Linked DNA regions of Callithrix jacchus. The main gene of each other region encodes a partner of the protein of the gene in region 3 in a complex. Links are inferred from orthologs where the notes say so. Each region holds a gene or a part of one and is shown on either strand. Other genes may lie near its edges.

Region 1 (4,850 bases), on a different chromosome or scaffold from region 3:
CTCACTGTTGTACCTTCAGCATCTAGCAAAGGGCTGGGCACATAGTAGGTGCTCAGGAAATGGCAGTTGAATGCATGAGTGACTGGGTGAATGAATGAGTGAACCAATGAGTGGGGTCAGGAGTGGTGGCTCACACTTGTAATTCTAGCATGTCAGGAGGCTGAGATGGAAGGATCCCTTGAGGCCAGGAGTTCTAGACTAGCCTGGGTAACAGAGTGAGACCCCACCTCTACAAAAAAAAGAAAAAATTCAGGTGGGTATGGTGGCACGCACCTCAGATGCTCAAGAGGCAAAAGTGGGAGGATCGCTTGAGCCTAGGAGTTTGTGGCTGCAGTGAGCTATGAAAGCACTCTGCACTCCAGCCTGGGCAACAGAGCAAGACCCCATCTCTGGAAGAAAAAAAGGGTTGAGTGAGTGAATATCTGTCTCCAGGGACAGATGCTTACCCAACAGACCCTGGGCAGGGCCCAGGAAGCTCCTCCCTGGCCAATTGGCGTGTGCTCCTGTTTCCTGGCCTGAGTTTAACGAGCCCCAAGCAGGACCCCAAAAAATTCAAGGAGGAATTCTCCAAATGGCCCCTGCTCCTCCCGGGCAGCTCCCAACAATCAAAACCATTAGCTCACATGGTAATTAAACCATCAAAGCCAGCTGCTCTGCCAGGAGATGAGGCTGGGGCAGACACAAGGTACGGGCAGCACCTGGCAGCCGGCAGCCTGGGAGAGCCACTGTGGGCAGGGCCCCACCTGTTACCAGGAAGCTTCTGCTTCAAGGAACCCAAGGGCAGTGCATGGGAGAGCCCTTCTTGGAAAGACCTGGGTCCCCTTCCCGGACAGTGACTCAGTTCTTTGCCATCTGGGCTTTCTTTCCTGTTCAGAGGGTTTTCCTGCTCCAGGTTTGCCTGGGGCTGGGCTCCTTGGTCACAGCACTCGAAGGGGAAGAATTGGTTTGTGCCTCACCCTGATAGTTACAATGCTGACAGGCTGGCTGCGTGCAGGTGAAGAGCAATGAGAAGACCTGGGAGCTCCCACTCCTGTGCCCATCAAACTCCCCGAGCAGCAGCCAGCAGCCCCCCACCACCCATGCGCCTGACTTCACACCTGGCTTCACCTGGTCTCGTAGAGTTTTGATTCTGGAAGGCTCACCCCAGGGAGCCACCGCCTCCGCTCCAGAAACCCCAGAGGGGATGGGGGTCAGAGCTGTGGATCCAGGACAAGCCTGGGTGCTGGGAGGGCCTCGGCTGCAGAGCCCCAGGCTACTCTGTCTGAAAATGGGGCACTGTAAAATGGAGCTGGTGTAGGTGACAATTCGGTCATAGAAGAAAAGTCAACTGGGGAGGAAAACAAGAAAAGCCAGCGAGGGCTGAGTCTGGAACGTCTGCCTACACGTGAATCCCGCAGAGGAAGAGCCACAGGAACTCAGTAGCCAGCCCGGCTCCTGGGCCATGCCCTGGCAGCAGCCCTCCAGGGCATACCCCGGGTTGGTTTTTTAAAAAAAATTCTGATGGCTGATTTCCTGAGTTTGAGCTCCAGGCTCTGCCAACTACCAGCTATGTGACCTCTCCCGACTCCAGATTCCCCCTTCTGTGAAATGGAGACGACAGTAACTACTTCAAAGATTGTGCTGAGGATTAAAAAGAAACCAAGCCCTCCCCGAAAGCCGCAAAACCACACTTCACCTACCGTCCACAGCGCTTAGAGGACACCCGAGAGAGCAGCAATGGCTGGGGACACTATTGGCTTTCACTTCAACTCTTCCAGGAATAAAATGAGCAAAATGTTAGCTGAGGAAAGAACGCAGCAAGGGGGAACAAAGGCACACGGGTATCTCTTCAGAGCAAACTGCTTTGTTCTCCACTGGGATGGGCATTCTGACACCGGCACCGGCACCTGCCAGCTGTGATACCTTGAGAGTGTCATTTCACCTCTCAGTGCCTCAGTTATCTATGAAATGGGGATGACATTGCACTTGTCCCTGCAGGCCATAGAGAAATGCTTGCAAGGCATGTTTCAAGGTGCCTGGGGCATAGTCAGCTGTCGAAGGAGGATGGCTATGTGGTCCTTGTCTTTCTACTGTTTTTTTTTTTTTTTTTTGAGATGGAGTCTCACTCTGTTGCCCAGGCTGGAGTGCACTGGCACCATCTCTGCTCACTGCAACTTTTGCCTCCTGGGTTCAAGCAATTCTCCTGCCTCAGCCTCCCAAGTGGCTGGGATCACAGGCATGTGCCACCACACCCAGCAAAGTTTCATATTTTTAGTAGAGAAGGGGTTTTACCATGTTGGCCAGGCTGGTCTCAAACACCTGAGCTCAAGAGATCCACCTGCCTCGGCATCCCAAAGTGCTGGGAGGACAGGCGGGAGCCACCACATCTGGCTGGTCTACTATTCTTTTTTTTTTTTGAGATGAAGTCTCACTTTGTCACCCAGGCTGGAATGCAGTGGTGTGATCTCAGCTCACTGCAACCTCCACCTCCCAAGTTCAAGCGATTCTCCTGCCTCAGCTTCCTGAGTAGCTGGTACTATAGGTACATGTCACCATTCCTGGCTAATTTCTGTATTTTTAGTAGAGATGGGGTTTCATCATATTGGCCAGGCTGGTCTTGAACTCGTGACCTGAGGTGATCTGCCTGCCTTGACCTCCCAAAGAATAAAGTTGTCCTGTATTTTATTCCTGGAATTGTGCAATGAAAGCCAGTTGCAGGAGCCTCCCGGTCTGGTCTGCTATTTTTTTTTTTTTTTTTGCTTGGGTAATCCCTTTTAATAGTGAACTTCAGGTCACAACGGTAACTATTAGTTCAACTACACCAAGGTTTCTGAAGACAATGGCTTCTCCACCCAAGCAGGTTGTATATAAATTCCAAATAGAACTGCTTATTCTTTAGGATACTGCTATTGCCATCATGATCTGAGCCAAGCAAAAGAGGAAGAAAGAGAAGTGGAAATCTCACCCCAGGAGCTACTGCTGGTCCGTGGAAGGAAGAAGTACTGTACCTTCTTTGCCTGGATCAGCAGAAGCCTGGGCCATGCTGAGGACAGCTGCAGGGAGCGGGGAGACTTGCCAGGTGGTGCAGGCTCCTGTGCTCTGGCCTTGAGAGAATGGGCTGGGTCGAGGCTGGGGGTCTCATGCGGCTGAGCCTGGTGCTTCGTGCAGCTCTGAACCCACAAGGGAAGCGATGTCTGCTTCCACCAGGCGGGTATCAGCTGTTTACACCCCGGAAATAGACGCCCAGCCAGACCGGCCAGATTGTTTCTGAAGAAAAAGAAAATGAAACTTCTCTGTGTGGCTTTTCAAAGAAACCACATTGAAAGCAGGATGGATGAGCAAGCCCGAGTTGGGGCTCCGACTTGATGTTGACAGGGCGGAGCTATAAACTCAGCAAGACCAGAGCATCCTCTGAAGAGGCCTTTGGGGCAGAGGACTTCCCTCACCTTCCCAGCTCCAGGCGCAGCCCACCTGGACCCCTGCATTTTTATTTTCTGGCTCAGCATCAGAGGATTAAAAAAAAAAAAGAGAGAGCATGTACCACCTGCAGGGGTGATGTCAGGGGGTGGCATCACTCTGACGATGTCAGGAGCTGGGGCTGGACACCCAGGTTCTGTGTTTTGTTTTGGAAACAGGGTTTCTGTCACCCAGGCTGATGTGCAGTGGCACCATCATGGCTCACTGCAGCCTTGACCTCCTGGGCTTCAGTGATCCTCCCACCTCTCAGCCTCCCTAGTAGCTGGGACCACAGGTCTACATCACCATCCCAGCTAATTTTTGTATTTTCTGTAGAGATGGCGTTTCGTCATGTTGCCCAGGCTGATCTCAAACTCCTGGGGTCAAGCGATCCGCCTGCCTTGGTCTCACGCAGTGCTGGGATTCCAGGCATGAGCCCCCATGCCTACCCTGCCTGGTTCCGGTGGTACTTCCTTCTCAGGGACTCACAGGTGCTGACAGAGGTGCCGTCCCCAGCTCTCAATGGTTTTTCTTGTCTCCTCCCGAGTTTATTTCCCTGACCCACACGAGGGGCAGAACATTTAGGTGGGTGAGTGTCCTGAGATTGTCCCTGTGAGTATCCAACTGAGCCTCTTTAATGAACACCTACTACATGCTTTCCAATCTCAAGTGCTCCTCCAACCCATCTACAGGGTAGGGGCCAGTTCTTTCTTATTCTCAGAGGGGAAACTGAGGCCAGAAAGGCAAGATCACTTGTCCAAGGCCACACAGAGTCCATGGCAGAGCATGTCCTGTCCATTACCCAATTGTGTTTCCTGATCTGTAACATCAAAAGTCACACGTGAATCACCCTTAACACATGACGGTATGGAGTTCCCAGCTTTGCCACAGAACTTGCTTATTAATTCCAGAGTCAGATGCCTGAGGTCAGCATCTGAAAACTGGCAGCTGAGTGGTTCGGCATGCAAGCCTGGGCCAGCGTGCTTGGGTCCAAACCCAGCTGCACCATTTACTGGGTGTGTGACCTTGGACAAGTTATTTAACCTCTCGGTGCCTCAGTTTCCTCATGTGTAAAAGGGCTTAATCAAAGGAGCTAGCTCATGGGATTGAGGTGAGGACTTAAGGGGCTAACCCAGCCCAGCTGTCGGGCCGGAGCCCCAGCGCCATCTGCGGTCATGGGTATTGTCACCCCACAGGAATGTGTCTGGGAGAAAATGTGTCTTTGAAAAAAGGTTTGACGAAATGCTGAAAAGAATAGACAATATAGAGAGAAATATAAATGAATTAACGGAGTTGAACAATACAACACGAGAACTTAGTGAAATATGCACAAGTTTAAATAGCAGAATGGATCAAGCAGAAGAAAGGATATCAGAGGTCGAAGACCAACTTAACGAAATAAAACGACAAGACAA
Region 2 (4,612 bases), on a different chromosome or scaffold from region 3:
GAAGGTTGAGTTAGATCGTCTTCTCTCCTCCCCTCCACAAGTTACCCTGAATCTAGTTATAGGTCTGGAGGAAGAGTCTGGTGGAATAATTGAACAGGGAAAAAAAGGGGTAGAGAGTGGGTATCTGTTACTGGATTTGGTTCCAGGTTCCTGGAGGACCAGTTCATGCCATGTCTCTTAGCCCCCTGCAAACAGCACAGAGCATTCAGTTCTGTCCCAGAGTCTGGTGTTCCCTCTGCACTCCTCTCAGCTCCAAGTTTTCCCTGGCAAGGGGAAAGGATTTATAGGAGTTCTAGTGCATCCCCTAATCCTGCCAATGTCTCACCTGATTCCTTTGGGGTCTAGGACCTGGTGTTCCAGTTGAGGTGGGGCTGGGTGTCTGGTTTCTGAAAGTTGAGGTCTCTGGAGTCTGGGGAGGTTGAGCCATTGAATCTGAAGATGTCCCTGCTGTCCTGGCTTGTGGAACCTGCTCCTCTTGTGCCCTGCTCTTCTTGGTAAGACTTGGGTATTTTTCAGGAACACAGCTGGAAGAATCCTCTAGATTCAGTTTATTTAGCAGGTCAGAATCCATGAAATCATCATAACAGTGCTGCCTTCCTGTGTTTCTCCCAAAGCCATCCATTTCTGTCTTTCCTTGGCCTGACCTATTGCTGCTCCTGAGCTCAGACAGGAAATTCTTTACCTGCAGGGATGGAGGAGTTTGCTGGGTATAACTTGGATGAGCCAGAGCAAACCCAAGGGAGTAGTCTCTTGGTCCATAATCTGTTGGCTGGGAACTCGGGGGTGGGCTGGGGAGGGTGGGGACAAAGTTCAAGGCATAAAAAGCGGTGATCGGTGGTAAGCCATCATTGGATGGCTAGGTAGTCATGTTGTGCTATCCCTGACCAGCTCCTGGAGAGGGATGATGTTGGGAGCTCACTGTGGAGACAGCAGCATTCATATTGTTCTTCACCAGCTCGAAGCCTTCATCGGTTTTTGGTAGGCATTCTAGAGGGACAGTAGATTGGGTTGCAGGTGAGCAAATCTTTTCCTGAGAAGAGCCCCCTGCTGACAGACCCAAGCTTATCACAGATCCAGCTAACTGGGCAGCTCACCCTGGAAGGAGGGTCTGTCCTTGGGCTCATTGCTACAGCAGAGCTGCATTAAATCCTTCAGTCCTTCCAAGCCAGGAGTCTCAGGCCCAGCTTGGGACAGTTCATTTAGTGAGGGCTGGGCCTCCCTCTTGCACACTGCTCCATACACCAGTGATGCTTCGGTCGGCACTGGGGTAGGGAAGGTGGGTGAGAAGAGAAGGCATTTGGGGTAAAAGGGAATATCTGTCCATCATGGAAAGAGGCAGGGAGTGTAATGTGGGGGCACCATGAGGGAGGAGGGCAGTCTAAGTAGATGAGCAGGAAGGGGAAGACTTGGGGCTTTCAGAAGGGCACCTGGGGTTAAGGATCCCAGAATCTGCCTAGAGTCTTACACTCAGCTTCTCTTCCAGCAAGCACTGCCCACATTAGGATCCCGAAGCTGCAGGAGACACAAAGCTGAGGACAGGTCCAATCACTGGCAAGACTCCTTTCCTATACGTCATCCCCTAGGAGGGCCAAGAGAGGTGTAGGAATCCCCGCTGTGTGTTTGGGGTGGGATCCTTACCTGTAGACATCACTGGCTGGGGAGGCCTTCTGGTTTACATTAACAAACAGTTCTGGGGCCAAGTAGCCCAGGGTGCCCCCTGGCTCCCTAGACCCTGTCCCTGACGGTGAGCTTCCCTGAAATGTGGACAGGCCAAAATCTGCCAGCTGCAAATGAAGGGAAGAAGGGGGAAGCGGGGAAGACAAAGCAGGCAGCCTCCAGAATACTCCCTACCCCCAGATGGTGCAGATTCAGCTTTGTAAAAAGAGTGTGAAGGTCAAGGGAAGGGGTTCCCTTGGGTGGTAGATCTAGGTGCCCTGTGGTAGGGCTGGGTCCAAGTCTGAGTCTCCAGGGCCTGGTGGGACAGCTGGTGGAAATGACTCGTGTGGGTCAGGGCCTCTATCACCTGGTAGGGCAGGAGCTAAAACTCCCGGCTGGGCTTTGTCCCCTGACAACTCTGAGTCCAGAGGGAGAGGCTGTGCCTATTCAACAGACAGGGCTCTGCAGGTCTAGTGTCTGGTGGCCCTGGCTGGAGCAGCTCTGGGGTGGGGCCTTGTCCTGAGGCTGAGAGGGGTGTAGACCGGCTAACCTTGACGTGCAGCTCCGGGTCCAGCAGGATGTTGGATGGCTTGAGGTCCTGGTGCAGGAGCGCCGGGTTCTGCTCATGCAGGTAACACATCCCGAGCACCACTTCTTTCAGCAGGCGGCAGAGGAGTGGCCAGGGCCGAGGGCACTGGGGCTTCAGCAGCCCCGACAGGGAGCCGTTCTCCATGAATTCAGTCACCAGTGCCGGCCTGAAATCGTCGTCCCACCCCACCTCCTCGATGACCCCTTTTAGGCACAGCACGAATTCGTTATTCAGACTTGCCATGGCCTTGACCTCCCTGGATATCGCCTTCCTACACTCCAGTAGAGAGCTGGAGTCGCACCGGGGTCCTGGGAGAATCCCTCCCTTCCCCATTCAGGTCGCAGAGCACAGCGGCTCCACCTTTTTGCCCAGACCTTGGCCGGACACTCACGAGTTCACGATCTTGACAGCCACATCGCAGCCCCACTTCCTATGATGCGCCCGGAACACGTTGCCGAACCCGCCTGAGCCGACGAGCTTGTGGTTCTCCAATTACTTGTCTAACACCAAGGAGGCGGAAGCACCGTTCAACCTGAGAGAGGGGTGTCGCCCACTAGCCGGCAGTGCAGTGTCCGCGCTGCTCCCCCCGCCCCCGTGACTCGGCGCCCACTGCAATCCTCGGCCTCCCTCGCCCGCCCCCACCGTCCCTAGACGCAAAGGCGTTCTCTGAGCGAGTCGCGGGTAGCTCTGGGGGTGAGTGTCGGAGACTCAGATCCACACGCCACTCCCTACTCACCATAACTTGACGTGAGACATCAGGCTGGAAGGTACGAGGGGGCCGCTGGAAATAGCGAGCTGCAGGAGATGGAGTGACTTCCGGGGCTGCGGTCTTTGGTAGAGAGGGGAACGGGTCTGCATGCACAGGCGTCAGTCTCTAGACCAAGATGATGATTCCACTTTCCGGGTTGCTACCGCTATTCCGAGTTGACTGAACAACTTCCCTTTCAGGCGACTCTACAGTCCCGCCCCTGGGGTGGGACGGGGGCAGAACGAAAGCTAGTGCTTTCCTCTCTGACTAGTGTTTCTTGGGCGCCTGCTGCGTGCCGCGGCCAGGTTGGTTGTAGCTGGGCATTGAGGATGTTAGGGAAGGAGTCCTCACCTTCCGGGAACCCACAATCGACCCTCTCCTACAGCCAACGCCTTCCCTTTTCCCACGGGATTTCCTGCTCCACCACCTGCCAGGCCGTGAGTGGGGATGGTGCTTAAGAGGGTTTTATGGTTCTGGGGCTCAGCTCTCTCACAGCTGCCCTAAGATTATAGCCAACACGTATATAAAAGTTACTACACACCAGGTACATATATTAGCTTATTTAATTCTCACATGAACCCTAAGAGGATAGGTACTGCTTTTATTACTATTTTTATGGACGAGGAAACTGAGACACTGAGAGTTTAAGTATCATGCCTAAGCCCATGTGGAAATAATGGCTCTGAACCATCAAGTTTTCCTATTTTCACATAGACTTCAGGGCTGTACCACTCAGCTGGTCATGCAGGTGGTTGGGGAAGGTGTGAAGCATCCAACGATGTAATGAAGGACCCCTATCTGTATTCCTGCCCAGTCCCTATCGCTGCTCTGATAGGGACTTATATGCCCTATGAACAGGAGCCCCTGGAGCTGACAAGCCCTAAAACAACTCCCAGGGCATTGTGGTAAGGCTAGATATATCAGCCCAGCCAGAAGGTTGCTGACATTGCGGTGTACATTGCAGTGGAAACACCTCAGAGCTTTCCTGCCCTCTCTCTTGCATGACAGCTCTTGCATGCAAATACCCTAATTAATGTTCCTGACAAGCACGTGCTCGGACACAGGTCTTTGATAACCCGGGAGCATGCAGCGTCTTAAAGATTTAGGGCAGAAAAAAGGTGTCCATATTTTACCTTTCTAAGGTCTGACCATGACTGGGGGTTGTGGGAACAAGCTAGGGTCAGCCCTAGGCACTCAGTTCTTCACAGGGAGACTCAATCCTGTGGGTTGTGTGTTGGCTCTCACTAAAAGGTGCTCACCTTGGTACTTGCTTTCCATTTTGTCCAGTGGTCCATGGGCTGGTTGAAGCAGAAGTGACTAGCAGTTTTTTCTAGAACAGCTCCTGGAGAGCCATGTCATGGCTTCTGGTAGGGTCAGCTCATGCTATTTTGGAGCCATTTAGGGAATTGTTCAACCATAGTCTCTTTAAAAGCCAATAAATGACAGGTACCCAATAAATATTTATTGAATTGAATGAATAAATGAACAATCAAAAATACTGAGCCTTCCTTAAGACACTGATCATCCTAGATGAAACTCCATACTCATTAGGAGGAAAGAGGAGATTGGGTTCCTGTAGGGATTGAGGGCTCTCACCTGAACAGTTCATGAACTCCATC
Region 3 (4,760 bases):
TTTCCATGAAATCCCCAAAATAGGGAAATCCACAGAGACAGAAAATGAATCTGTGGTTTCCATGGATTGGGGGGAGGAGGAAGTGGAGAACAGCTGTTAGTGGATATCACAGTTCCTTTTAGGGTGATGAAAACCTTCTGGAGTTAGTAGTGATAGCTGGATAGCTTTGTCAATATACTAAGAACCACTGAATTGCATGCGGAGGAATATTATGGTATGTGAATGTATTTTAATAAATGTGTTATTTTATTTATATATTTTTATTTATTTTTATTTTTTTGAGATGGAGTCTCACCCTGTCACCCAGGTTGGAGTGCAATGGTGCAATCTCGGCTCACTGCAACCTTCACCTCCAAGTTCAAGCTATTCTCCTGCCTCAGCCTCTTGAGTAGCTGTGATTACAGGTGTGCACCACCACGCCCGACTAATTTTTGTATTTTTAGTAGACACGAGGTTTCACCATGTTGGCCAGGCTGGTCTCTAATTCTTGGCACATGATCTGCCTGCCTTGGCCTCCAAAAATGCTGGGATTACAGGCATAAGCCACCATGCCCGACCTTAATAAGGGTGTCATTTTAAAAAACAAGCTAGGCACCTCGGGTGTAAAATTGGAGGAGGTTCTGATTCTCAGGGCCGCGCAAATGCAGGGTTGGCCCCTACGTGTGCAGCCCTCCTGAAATTTTGTGCCTTAGGCACCTGGCTTGCCTCTCGCTAATTCAGGCCCTCAGGAGAAAGCTTTACTTTTTGTCAATTTGAAATGGGAGGGCATGGCTTCTGCGAGCCTCTCCCTGGGAGCCATTTGGTCTGTTCTCTTCCTCTGAAAATCACCGTGTCAACACAAAATGCTTCAAATTGCGTCCAGCCTAGGATGGAGGCGGTGGGGGGGATAGTTGATGACATCACAAAACTGCTGCATCAACTCCCTCAAGTCTCTGCCTCTGGACCCCTGATAGAGGATACAGGAGTGTCCTGAGCCCGTCTCACTCAGTGTCTCTTCCCATCACTTTGCGGGAATGGTGAGGCTGCTTAAACCAACCGCAGTCTAAGCAACTGTGGCTGGAGAAGGGCTCGAGTACTAGGGGTGAGGACGCCTGCTTCTCTATCTGGAGTGGTACCAGTTAGTACTAGTGCCTAGAAGTACTACTAGTACTAGTACCCAGGACTAGTACTAATTAGTGGCGGAACCTGGAACAAATGCTTTGGTTAACTGAATCCCTCACATTCCTAAGACAAGAGGAGTGGACCCATGGGGCTTTCCCATTGAACATCCAGCTTGGCTGTCACCCGACTACTTTCTGAAAGTAATGAAGCCCAGGATTCCAGGCTCTGTCTCCTTTCCCGCAGACCCCTTGTTTTTTGGCGCTGAGGTCCTGCACAGTGCAGGCTACCAGTCTACTTCTCTAGGCTGTCAGTTTCGGAACCCGGTCTGAAGCGACCATGACGCTGGAGGTGGGCGAGGCCCGGCGAGCGCCACGGGCACGAGACTGGCCTCGGGCTGGCGGAGGCAGTCGCGGACATCGCCCTGGGCGGGGCAAGTTGGGGAACCCTAGCCCTGCCCCTAGCCCTGCCCCCGGCCACCTCGCGCGCCGCCCCCGCTGGTTCCGGGAGGAAAGTGGCGTGAGTATAAAAAGGCGGTGCCGGCAAAGGCCGGAGTGAGAATCCGCAGCGAGCGCAGTAGTAGGACCCGGTCCTGCGCCTCAGGGATCCGCGTCCAGGATCGGAGCGCGGCACAGAGACGGCGGCAGCGTTGGAAGAGGTGGCAGGTGAGGGCGTCCCCGCGCAGGGCCGGGCTGGGGACGGGAGTGGTGAGCTTCAGGTTCCCCGGCTGCCACCGAGAGGTGGGATTCGAGGAAAGGAGAGGCCGTTCAGCCAAGAGCCCCGGGGAGGCAGTGCCGTTTCGGTGGGGCCAGCAACGGTCTCTAGGGGGTCCCTTGCAGCGCGCAGCCGGTCTCTGCCTCGGCGGCCCCCAGCCAGTGCGGACGCTGCTCTCCCCGACGCCTCCTGGCTGCCCTTCCCAGGCCGAAGGCGTCCCCTGCAGTCCCCTCCCCACCTGCCGGCCCTATTTTCCCACTGCTCCTCTCTGCTCGGGGGTCCGCAGGATGACAACGTCTATCCTGCTTATCTTTTAAAGTCACCATTCTCCAGTTCCAAATCCGAGGACTCATCCGTAATTCAGAGATACGGATGGGTCTTTCCTTCCCCGGAGCACTCCTCCAGGGCCTGAGAATCCGGGCAGCCAGCCGCAGCCCGTAACCTGCAGAGCCTGCTGTCTGCGGGGACCGCCAGCAAGTAGAGGAGGAATCACCTTCGGAAGTGTTGTGTTGCCGGGGGCGGGTCGCGCCGGCGGGGTCTAGGAAGCCTCCCCTAGGGTGGGAATCAGAGCCTCCCAGCCGCAGTGGAATTGAGGATGAGTGGAATTAACCCGTGATTGTCGTGGCGCCCCCCCAAGGGGGACCAACAGTGTTTGCCAAGAGGTGACTTTGGGAGGGGTCCAGGATGGCCAAAGGTGGAGGCTGTGACCTGAGTGAGGCTGGATCAGGGGAGGGGCAGGTGAAGAAGAAACCATTTCAACAAGGCGGCTTTGAGCGGACCCTAAGGCCCTGGGAGATTTAGGAGGAAGGACGAGAGGATGGAGACACCACTTTCCTCTCAGGATGCTGTGTGGCTGTGGCTGAGGGTGGCTGCTGGCAGCGGGTTGTGTTCATTGTCCAAGGCTCTCCAGTGGTCTGGCTGGCGTTTTGGGAAGCACAGGTGAGGTGTCCGGACAGTGGGGAGCAGCTCTGGAAAGACCAGAGGGTCAGGGAGGAGGTCTGGGCACGAGGCCAGGCACAGGATCTGAAGTGGAGAGAAATGTGTGTGAGGAGGGCAGCCCTTGGGGATGAGTGTGGCGGAGAAGGGAGAGATGGGAAGGAGTCAGGGAGGTCTCCCAGCCTCACCTGGATGGGTGAGGCTCATTTCCAAGGGCATTGGGAACTGTGGCCTGGGGGCAGGTGTTCCTTTGGTTTCAGATCTGTGGCCAAGAGACCCACCCACTCACATTCACACTTTGCCTCCACTGGCTTCAGAGGTAGTGCCAGCTACTTGTTCTCGCTGGTTTTACTTCCTCACCTTGGGCTCCTTCTTGCCTTTGCATTCTGGAGCTCTGCAGGGACCAGTTCCTTCCTCCCATGCACAATCTACTCTCATGGCTTTTGCTGGGAATAATGAGTAAAGCTCCCAAATAGATGTTTCTGAGTTAGAACACTGAAAACAAAATAAAGCAAAAACAATACATTTCCAATGTCCCAAGGTCACATGATGTCCGGAGGATAGTGATGAGCATTAACTTTTTGTCTTCCCTATTAGAATGCAAGCTCCACAAATGGAACAGAGTGTTGTTGTATTTTGTTTTGTTTTTTTCCAGACAGAGTTGTGCTCTGTCACAGGATGGAGTGGAGTGGCACGATCTTGGCTTACTGCAACCTCTGCTTCCCTGGGCTCAAGCAATTCTGCCTCAGCCTCTGGAGTAGCTGGGACTACAGGTGCACGCCACCATGCCCAGCTAATTTTTGTATTTTCCGTAGAGACAGGGTTTCACCATGTTGGCCAGGATGGTCTCAATCTCCTGACCTCCTGATCTGCCTGCCTTGGCCTTCCAAAGTGCTGGAATTACAGGCGTGGCCAGCTGAGTTTTTTTGTGTGTGTGTGTGTGCAGTGGGTCAATCTCAGCTCACTGTAACCTACGCCTCCTGGGTTCAAGCAATTCTCCTGCCTCCACTTCCAGAGTACCTGGGACTACAGGAGCATGCCACCACACCCGGCTCATTCCCATTAGGAACAAGTGAGACTTCCTTTTGCTCCAGGTCTTCATCGACATTTGGTGTTGTGTTCTGGATTTTAGCCATTCTAATAAATGTGTAATAGTATTTCAGTTTTTTCAGAACATTGTAATTCCTTAATGACCTATAATTTTGAGCATCTTTTCATACGCATATACATATGGTGAAGTGTCTGTTCAGAGCTTTTCCCCACTTTTAATCAGGTTACACATTTCCATATTGTTGCATTTTAAGAGGTTTTTTTGGGGGAGTATATTTTGGGTCACAGTCCTTTATCAGGTATGTCTTTTGTAAATATTTTCTCCCGGTCTGTGGCTTGTGTTCTCATTCTCCTGACATACCTTTTTTGTTTTTACAGCATATAATCCTGCTGCGCTTTTGTTTTGCTTTTGGGACGGAGTCTCGCTCTTATCACCCAGGCTGGAGCACAGTGGTGCAATCTCGGCTCACTGCAGCCTCCTCCTCCTGGGTTCAAGCGATTGTCCTGCCTCAGCCTCCCCAGTAGCTGGGATTACTGATGCCCGCCACCACGCCCAGCTGATTTTTGTATTTTTTAGTAGAGATGGGGTTTCACTATGTTGGCCAGGTTGGTCTCGAACTCCTGACTTCAAGTGATCCGCCCGCCTCAGCTTTTCAAAGTGCTGGCATTACAGGAGTGAGCCACCGCGCCCGGCCTGTTGTGCATATAATTTTATTATTTGCTTTTTTAATAAAACATGAATAGCATGCAGTTCCAATTTTGCTCGAGACTTCACAATTACCAATTTAAAGGCTGCAAAATAATCATCTTATTTCCTCTCGACAGCCTCACTTTACAGAAGGGAGAGGAATGCTAACTTGCCTATGGTCCTAGCGCTGCTAACGCGCACAGCTCCGAATCCTCCGGATAGCACCCCCGCTGCAATCCACACTGGACTTCCTCCAGGCCCAGCTGCCTCTCGG
Region 4 (4,836 bases), on a different chromosome or scaffold from region 3:
TGACTTATATTTTGCAACAAGGTGAAAAACAAGAAGGTCAGTTAGAAGCTGTTGTAATAATGCAGGGGAGAGATGAAGACATCCATCTAGCAGAGTCACAGTGAAGATAGAAGCGATTGTACTCAAATTACATGCATTTAATTCATAGAAAATAGAATTTCCTAATAGACTGGACCTGGAGTGCCGAGGAGAAGCTAAGAAACACACTTAGGCCGGGCGTGGTGGCTCATGCCTGTAATCCCAACACTTTGGGAGGCCAAGGCAGGTGGATCACTTGAGGTCAGGAGTTTGAAACCAGCCTGTCCAACATGGTGAAACCCCATCTTTACTTAAAATACAAAATTAGCCAGGCATGGTGGTACATGCCTGTAAGCCCAGCTACTCGGGAGGCTGAGGCAGGAGAACTGCTTGAACCTGGGAGGCAGAAGTTGTAGTGAGCCAAGATTGTGCCACTGCACTCCAGTCTGGGCAACAAGAGAAAAACTCCATCTCAAAAAGAAAAAAAGAAAAAACAAAAAAAGAAACAAACTTAGATTTTTTTGACTTAACACCTGAAAACAGTCAAAATGCTACTGATATTGCAGAGTGGATGTCAGAGGAGCATATTTGGAATGCGCTGGGATAAGGTTAGGAATGTGGACTTGGACATGTTAAGTTGGTGATGCCTGCTAGAGCTTCAAGTGCATAGTTCAGATACCCAGGTGGAGTTAAAGAGAGTGCTAGTCTAGAGATGTGAGCTTGGGAATCACTAGCACACAGGTAGTAGCAGTAAAAGCCATAGATAAACGATTTCACCAAGGGAGGAAGTGCAGAAAGAGGAAGTCCAAAGTTCGCCCCTGGCCATTCCGGTATTGACAGTGCGAGGGATGAAGACTGACCAGCCATGGTGACTGAACGGGCATGAGCGGTGAGATAGGTAGAAAGCTAGGAAGAGCAGTGTTTAAGGTGCTGAGAAGGTAATTCTTAAGGAGATAAAAAGATGAAATGTGCCACATGTTTCTAACATACTAGGTAGGATGAGGGCTGCAGAAAAGACATAGAAGTAGCAATTAGAGGTTACTGGTGACGCTGATAATAGCAGTTTTGATAGAGAATGGTGCAGAAGAAATTTTAACTTGAGTATACAAAATAGATTAAGATTGGTAAGTGCTATAAAGGAAAACAAAACAGGGAAGGCAGAGGGGGTGCCAGGAATGAGGAGTAAAATTGCTCATGTAAATTGAGTGGTCAGAAAAAGGGTGGACAAAAAAGGGGGAATGCAAGGAAAGCCAACCTTTTTGCTATAAAGGTCCAGAGAAATGTGGTAAGTGCTGGAAGGAGATGTGGGGTTGACAGAGTGTCTTCTTTTTGTTTGCTTGCTTTTCTAACATTGGAGAAAATACAGAATATTTCATGCTGATTAGAATGATCTGGGAGAGAGGAAAAATTGGTGATATAGAAGAACGAAAAGAAAATTTCTTAAGCAAGTAAAACCTAAGAATGATTCCTCTTTGAGAGACACCTGATGAAACAAATAAGCATTTCCACCCAGCATTTCCCCTATGTGCCATCTTCAGTGGAGGAATAGTGCCTACCTTCTTCATGCCACAGCTGCAGAACCCCACAGGGATTTCAGACTGTGTTAACTTGCTGCCTAAGGCTGACAGTTATTCTGCCAGACACAGACTTAAATCCTGGTTCCGCTATTTGCAACATCTGGTAAATTATACCCTTCTAAAGTGTCCATATCCTTAACTGCAAAATGGGGGAAATGTTATTATCAACATTGAAGAATTAATGTTAGAATAAGATAATTCCATTCAAGTAAGTCATGAACTTACAACAGAGCCTTGCAAAGCATAATCATTCATCCAGGGTTAGGTATCAGTATAAAAAGTGATAATATGCCAGGTGCGGTGGCTCATGCCTGTAATCCCAGCACTTTGGGAGGTGGAGGGAGGTGGATCACGAGGTCAAGAGATCGAGACCATCTCGGCCAACATAGTGAAACCCCATCTGTACTAAAATATAAAAATTAGCTGGGTGTGGTGACATGCATTTGTAGTCCCAGCTACTTGGGAGGCTGAGGCAAGAGAATTGTTTGAACCCAGGAGGTGGAGGTTGCATTGAGCCGAGATCAAGGCACTGTACTCCAGCCTGGTGCCTGGCAACAGAGTGAGACTCTGTCTCAAAAAAAAAAAAAAAAAAAAAGTGATAGTAGTAGATATCTAGTCATGATATTTTGTGACAAATAATAGTTTCATATGGGATGGCAGGTCACAATCTGGATTTGAGACTGAGATTAAAAGGTAGGAGCATATCTTATTTAAAAGGTTTTATCAAAGAATAGATTAAGAGGACACAGTGGGGCCGGGCGCTGTGGCTCATGCCTGTAATCCTAGCACTTTGGGAGGCCGAGGTGGGTGGATCACCTGAGGTCAGGAGTTCCAGACCAGCCTGGCCATCATGGTGATAACCCATCTTAAAAAAAAAGACACAGGGAAGGTAGAAGTGCAAGGTTGGAATGAAAAGGATTTCTGGGCTGGGATGAGCAAACCAGGGCAACAGATGATAAAGAACTAGAGTGATGTTGAAATCACACCAGAGCATCCCACTGGGGCTAGACCAGGGGCTTCGTGGGTGGTCCTGGAGGTCAGGAAATGAAGCCCTGCACTGTGTGAGAAGAGGCATTCATTAGTGGGAAATTCCCAAGTGCTATGTGGGGCTTCAGTCAAGTAAAATGGTCACTGCCTTGGAAGGTAGGGGGGCCCAGCCAGGGGGATGGGGCATTTACAAATAGGCTGATAGATAAACCCCAGTGGAAGCTGAAGCTTCAGGAATACCAGCTCAAAGACACCAGAGAATATGGCTACAGCGAATAAAATAGATGAACCCATCCTTTCACAGCTGGTGTCCATTTCGCAGGTTCAAGTTATCAAAGGGGTGCATAGCATGGCTGGTCTTTCCTCAGTTGTCTTTCTTGGTGGAGAAAGGGTTCCGTCTCTTGTGTCTAACCCAGTTCCTCCATGGTGCTTACCTTCTGATCCCTGGTGTGATCAGCAAACCGGGTCTGCCACCTTCTCTTCAGAGAGCTTAACTAGCAGGGGGCTTAGGAGACCATGCCCCAATTACCTACGTGACTTTCAAAGCGACAAAGGCTCTGAAACTTCTGAACAGCTTCACACATACTCCGAATAAACACTTCCCTTCACCCCCAGGGCCAGCGCGGGTTGGAGTGACAACTGGAGCTCTAATTGGCTGAGCTGGTTTGGGTTCTCTCTAGCAGCCACAGAAGAAAACTCTTGTAGCAACTTGTAGCTGAGTCATCCCACATAGTTACTCTGATTGGAAACTGAAAGTGGTTAGGAAGCTGTGAAAAATGACCACAGATGACTTATTGGTACGCTTTGTGACTAAGGGGCCTAGCAGATGACATTTTATTTTTATTTTTATTTTTTTCTTTTCTTTTGAGACGGAGTCTTGCTCTGTTGCCAGGCTGGAGTGCAGTGACGTGATCTTGGCTCACTGCAACCTCCGCCACCCGGGTTCAAGGGATTCTCCTGCCTCAGCCTCCCGAGTAGCTGGGACAACAGGCGCGCGACCATGCCCAGCTAATTTTTGTATTTTTCGTAGAGACGTGGTTTCACCATGTTGGCCAGGATGGTCTCGATTTCTTGACCTTGTGATCTGCCTGCCTTGGCCTCCCAAAATGCTGAGATTACAGGCACGAGCACCGTTGTCTGGCCCAGATACATTTTTTCTGGTATAAATAAGCACAGTGATTTCGGAGGGCATCAAAAAGTGTTGCCAGTAGGCCAGTGCAGGTTCTTGGCGTCAAAGCATAAGAGAATCCGAAAATGAGACCAAAGTGAAAGTATAGATGTTTTATTGTGGAGCAAAAGCAAGGATACACCCAAGGGAGGAGTGCGGGCACTCAGAGAATGAGTCACAGGCAACGGGGTTCGTGTCATATACGGATTAGCACAATGAAGGTAGAAAGTACTCTATGATAAGGGGAAGGGTTTTCTGCAAAATGGGTGGGCAGTTCTCAGAATCAGGGTGCCACCATTTTCTTGACTAAAGATAGTTAATCCGGAAATATTATGGCGCCAGGTGCATGATGGGAGTGGGAGGTTTCATTATGGAAATTTTATGACATTAAGGGCATAATGAAGCTAAGGGTCAGCAGTCAGCCAAGTTTTCGGTTTAACCGGGTTTAACCAGTTGCGGCCAGTTTCTTCCGTGTTACCTTCTCATCCGTGCCTAAGGAGGAAGTCTGCAATGTGTGCTCATTGTCACAGCTGGTTGTAGCAGTTCCTGTCTCCTAGGGGGCCTGTCCCTCTGCTCTAACGTTTTTGACCCCATTTTTATTGCTTGTAGTTACCTGGAAGTAATGGTGCCTCATTCCCTCACGAACTGCTTGCCTCAAAAGCATATATACAGTCTTTCTTCCTAACCCAGATTCCTAACCCTAAATTCAGAACCTGAGGGCTTGATTCTAGTCAGCAATTTACTTGAAGTTTTCATTTCTCATTCATTGAATCAACAATTATTCAGTGAACATCTAATAGGATGTATTAGTTTCTGGGAATGTAATAGTTGATAAGACAAAGTTCCAGATATTGAGCGGCTCTGCCAAGTCATGGAAACAGACATGTAATTTAATAATCGCAATAGCACATGGTGCTAAGTGTTATAATTAAAGCATGTTCAAGATGCTATGGGAGCAGAGGAAAAGCACCTAGCCATGCTCAGGTCATCAGCCCAGAGCTCAGGACTGCCTTCACTTTCTGCTCTAAGGCCTATTTCTACACTTTTGCCAGCTGTCAGCTCAAATATCACCTTATCTGTGGGGCT

What was found.
Region 1: RIPK1 (region 3) and ZBP1 share a complex: the UniProt entries of both Homo sapiens proteins name them as parts of the AIM2 PANoptosome complex. The link is inferred for Callithrix jacchus from reciprocal best matches to the Homo sapiens genes RIPK1 and ZBP1.
Region 2: RIPK1 (region 3) and RIPK3 share a complex: the UniProt entries of both Homo sapiens proteins name them as parts of the AIM2 PANoptosome complex. The link is inferred for Callithrix jacchus from reciprocal best matches to the Homo sapiens genes RIPK1 and RIPK3.
Region 4: RIPK1 (region 3) and AIM2 share a complex: the UniProt entries of both Homo sapiens proteins name them as parts of the AIM2 PANoptosome complex. The link is inferred for Callithrix jacchus from reciprocal best matches to the Homo sapiens genes RIPK1 and AIM2.

The regions. Positions count from the first base shown.
Region 1 is NC_133506.1:53,206,609-53,211,458, forward strand, and holds the start of ZBP1 (Z-DNA-binding protein 1), read right to left. Parts: upstream 3,176-4,850; 5' UTR 3,022-3,175; coding exon 2,988-3,021; intron 1-2,987.
Region 2 is NC_133509.1:58,638,465-58,643,076, forward strand, and holds the start of RIPK3 (receptor-interacting serine/threonine-protein kinase 3), read right to left. Parts: upstream 3,176-4,612; 5' UTR 2,982-3,175; intron 2,778-2,981; 5' UTR 2,579-2,777; coding exon 2,207-2,578; intron 1,785-2,206; coding exon 1,639-1,784; intron 1,513-1,638; coding exon 1,466-1,512; intron 1,263-1,465; coding exon 1,095-1,262; intron 988-1,094; coding exon 920-987; intron 683-919; coding exon 305-682; 3' UTR 1-304. UniProt on the Homo sapiens protein: Serine/threonine-protein kinase that activates necroptosis and apoptosis, two parallel forms of cell death. Necroptosis, a programmed cell death process in response to death-inducing TNF-alpha family members, is triggered by RIPK3 following activation by ZBP1.
Region 3 is NC_133505.1:27,572,417-27,577,176, reverse strand, and holds the start of RIPK1 (receptor-interacting serine/threonine-protein kinase 1), read left to right. Parts: upstream 1-1,652; 5' UTR 1,653-1,763; intron 1,764-4,760. UniProt on the Homo sapiens protein: Serine-threonine kinase which is a key regulator of TNF-mediated apoptosis, necroptosis and inflammatory pathways.
Region 4 is NC_133519.1:19,069,830-19,074,665, forward strand, and holds the start of AIM2 (interferon-inducible protein AIM2), read right to left. Parts: upstream 3,176-4,836; 5' UTR 3,017-3,175; intron 1-3,016. UniProt on the Homo sapiens protein: Sensor component of the AIM2 inflammasome, which mediates inflammasome activation in response to the presence of double-stranded DNA (dsDNA) in the cytosol, leading to subsequent pyroptosis.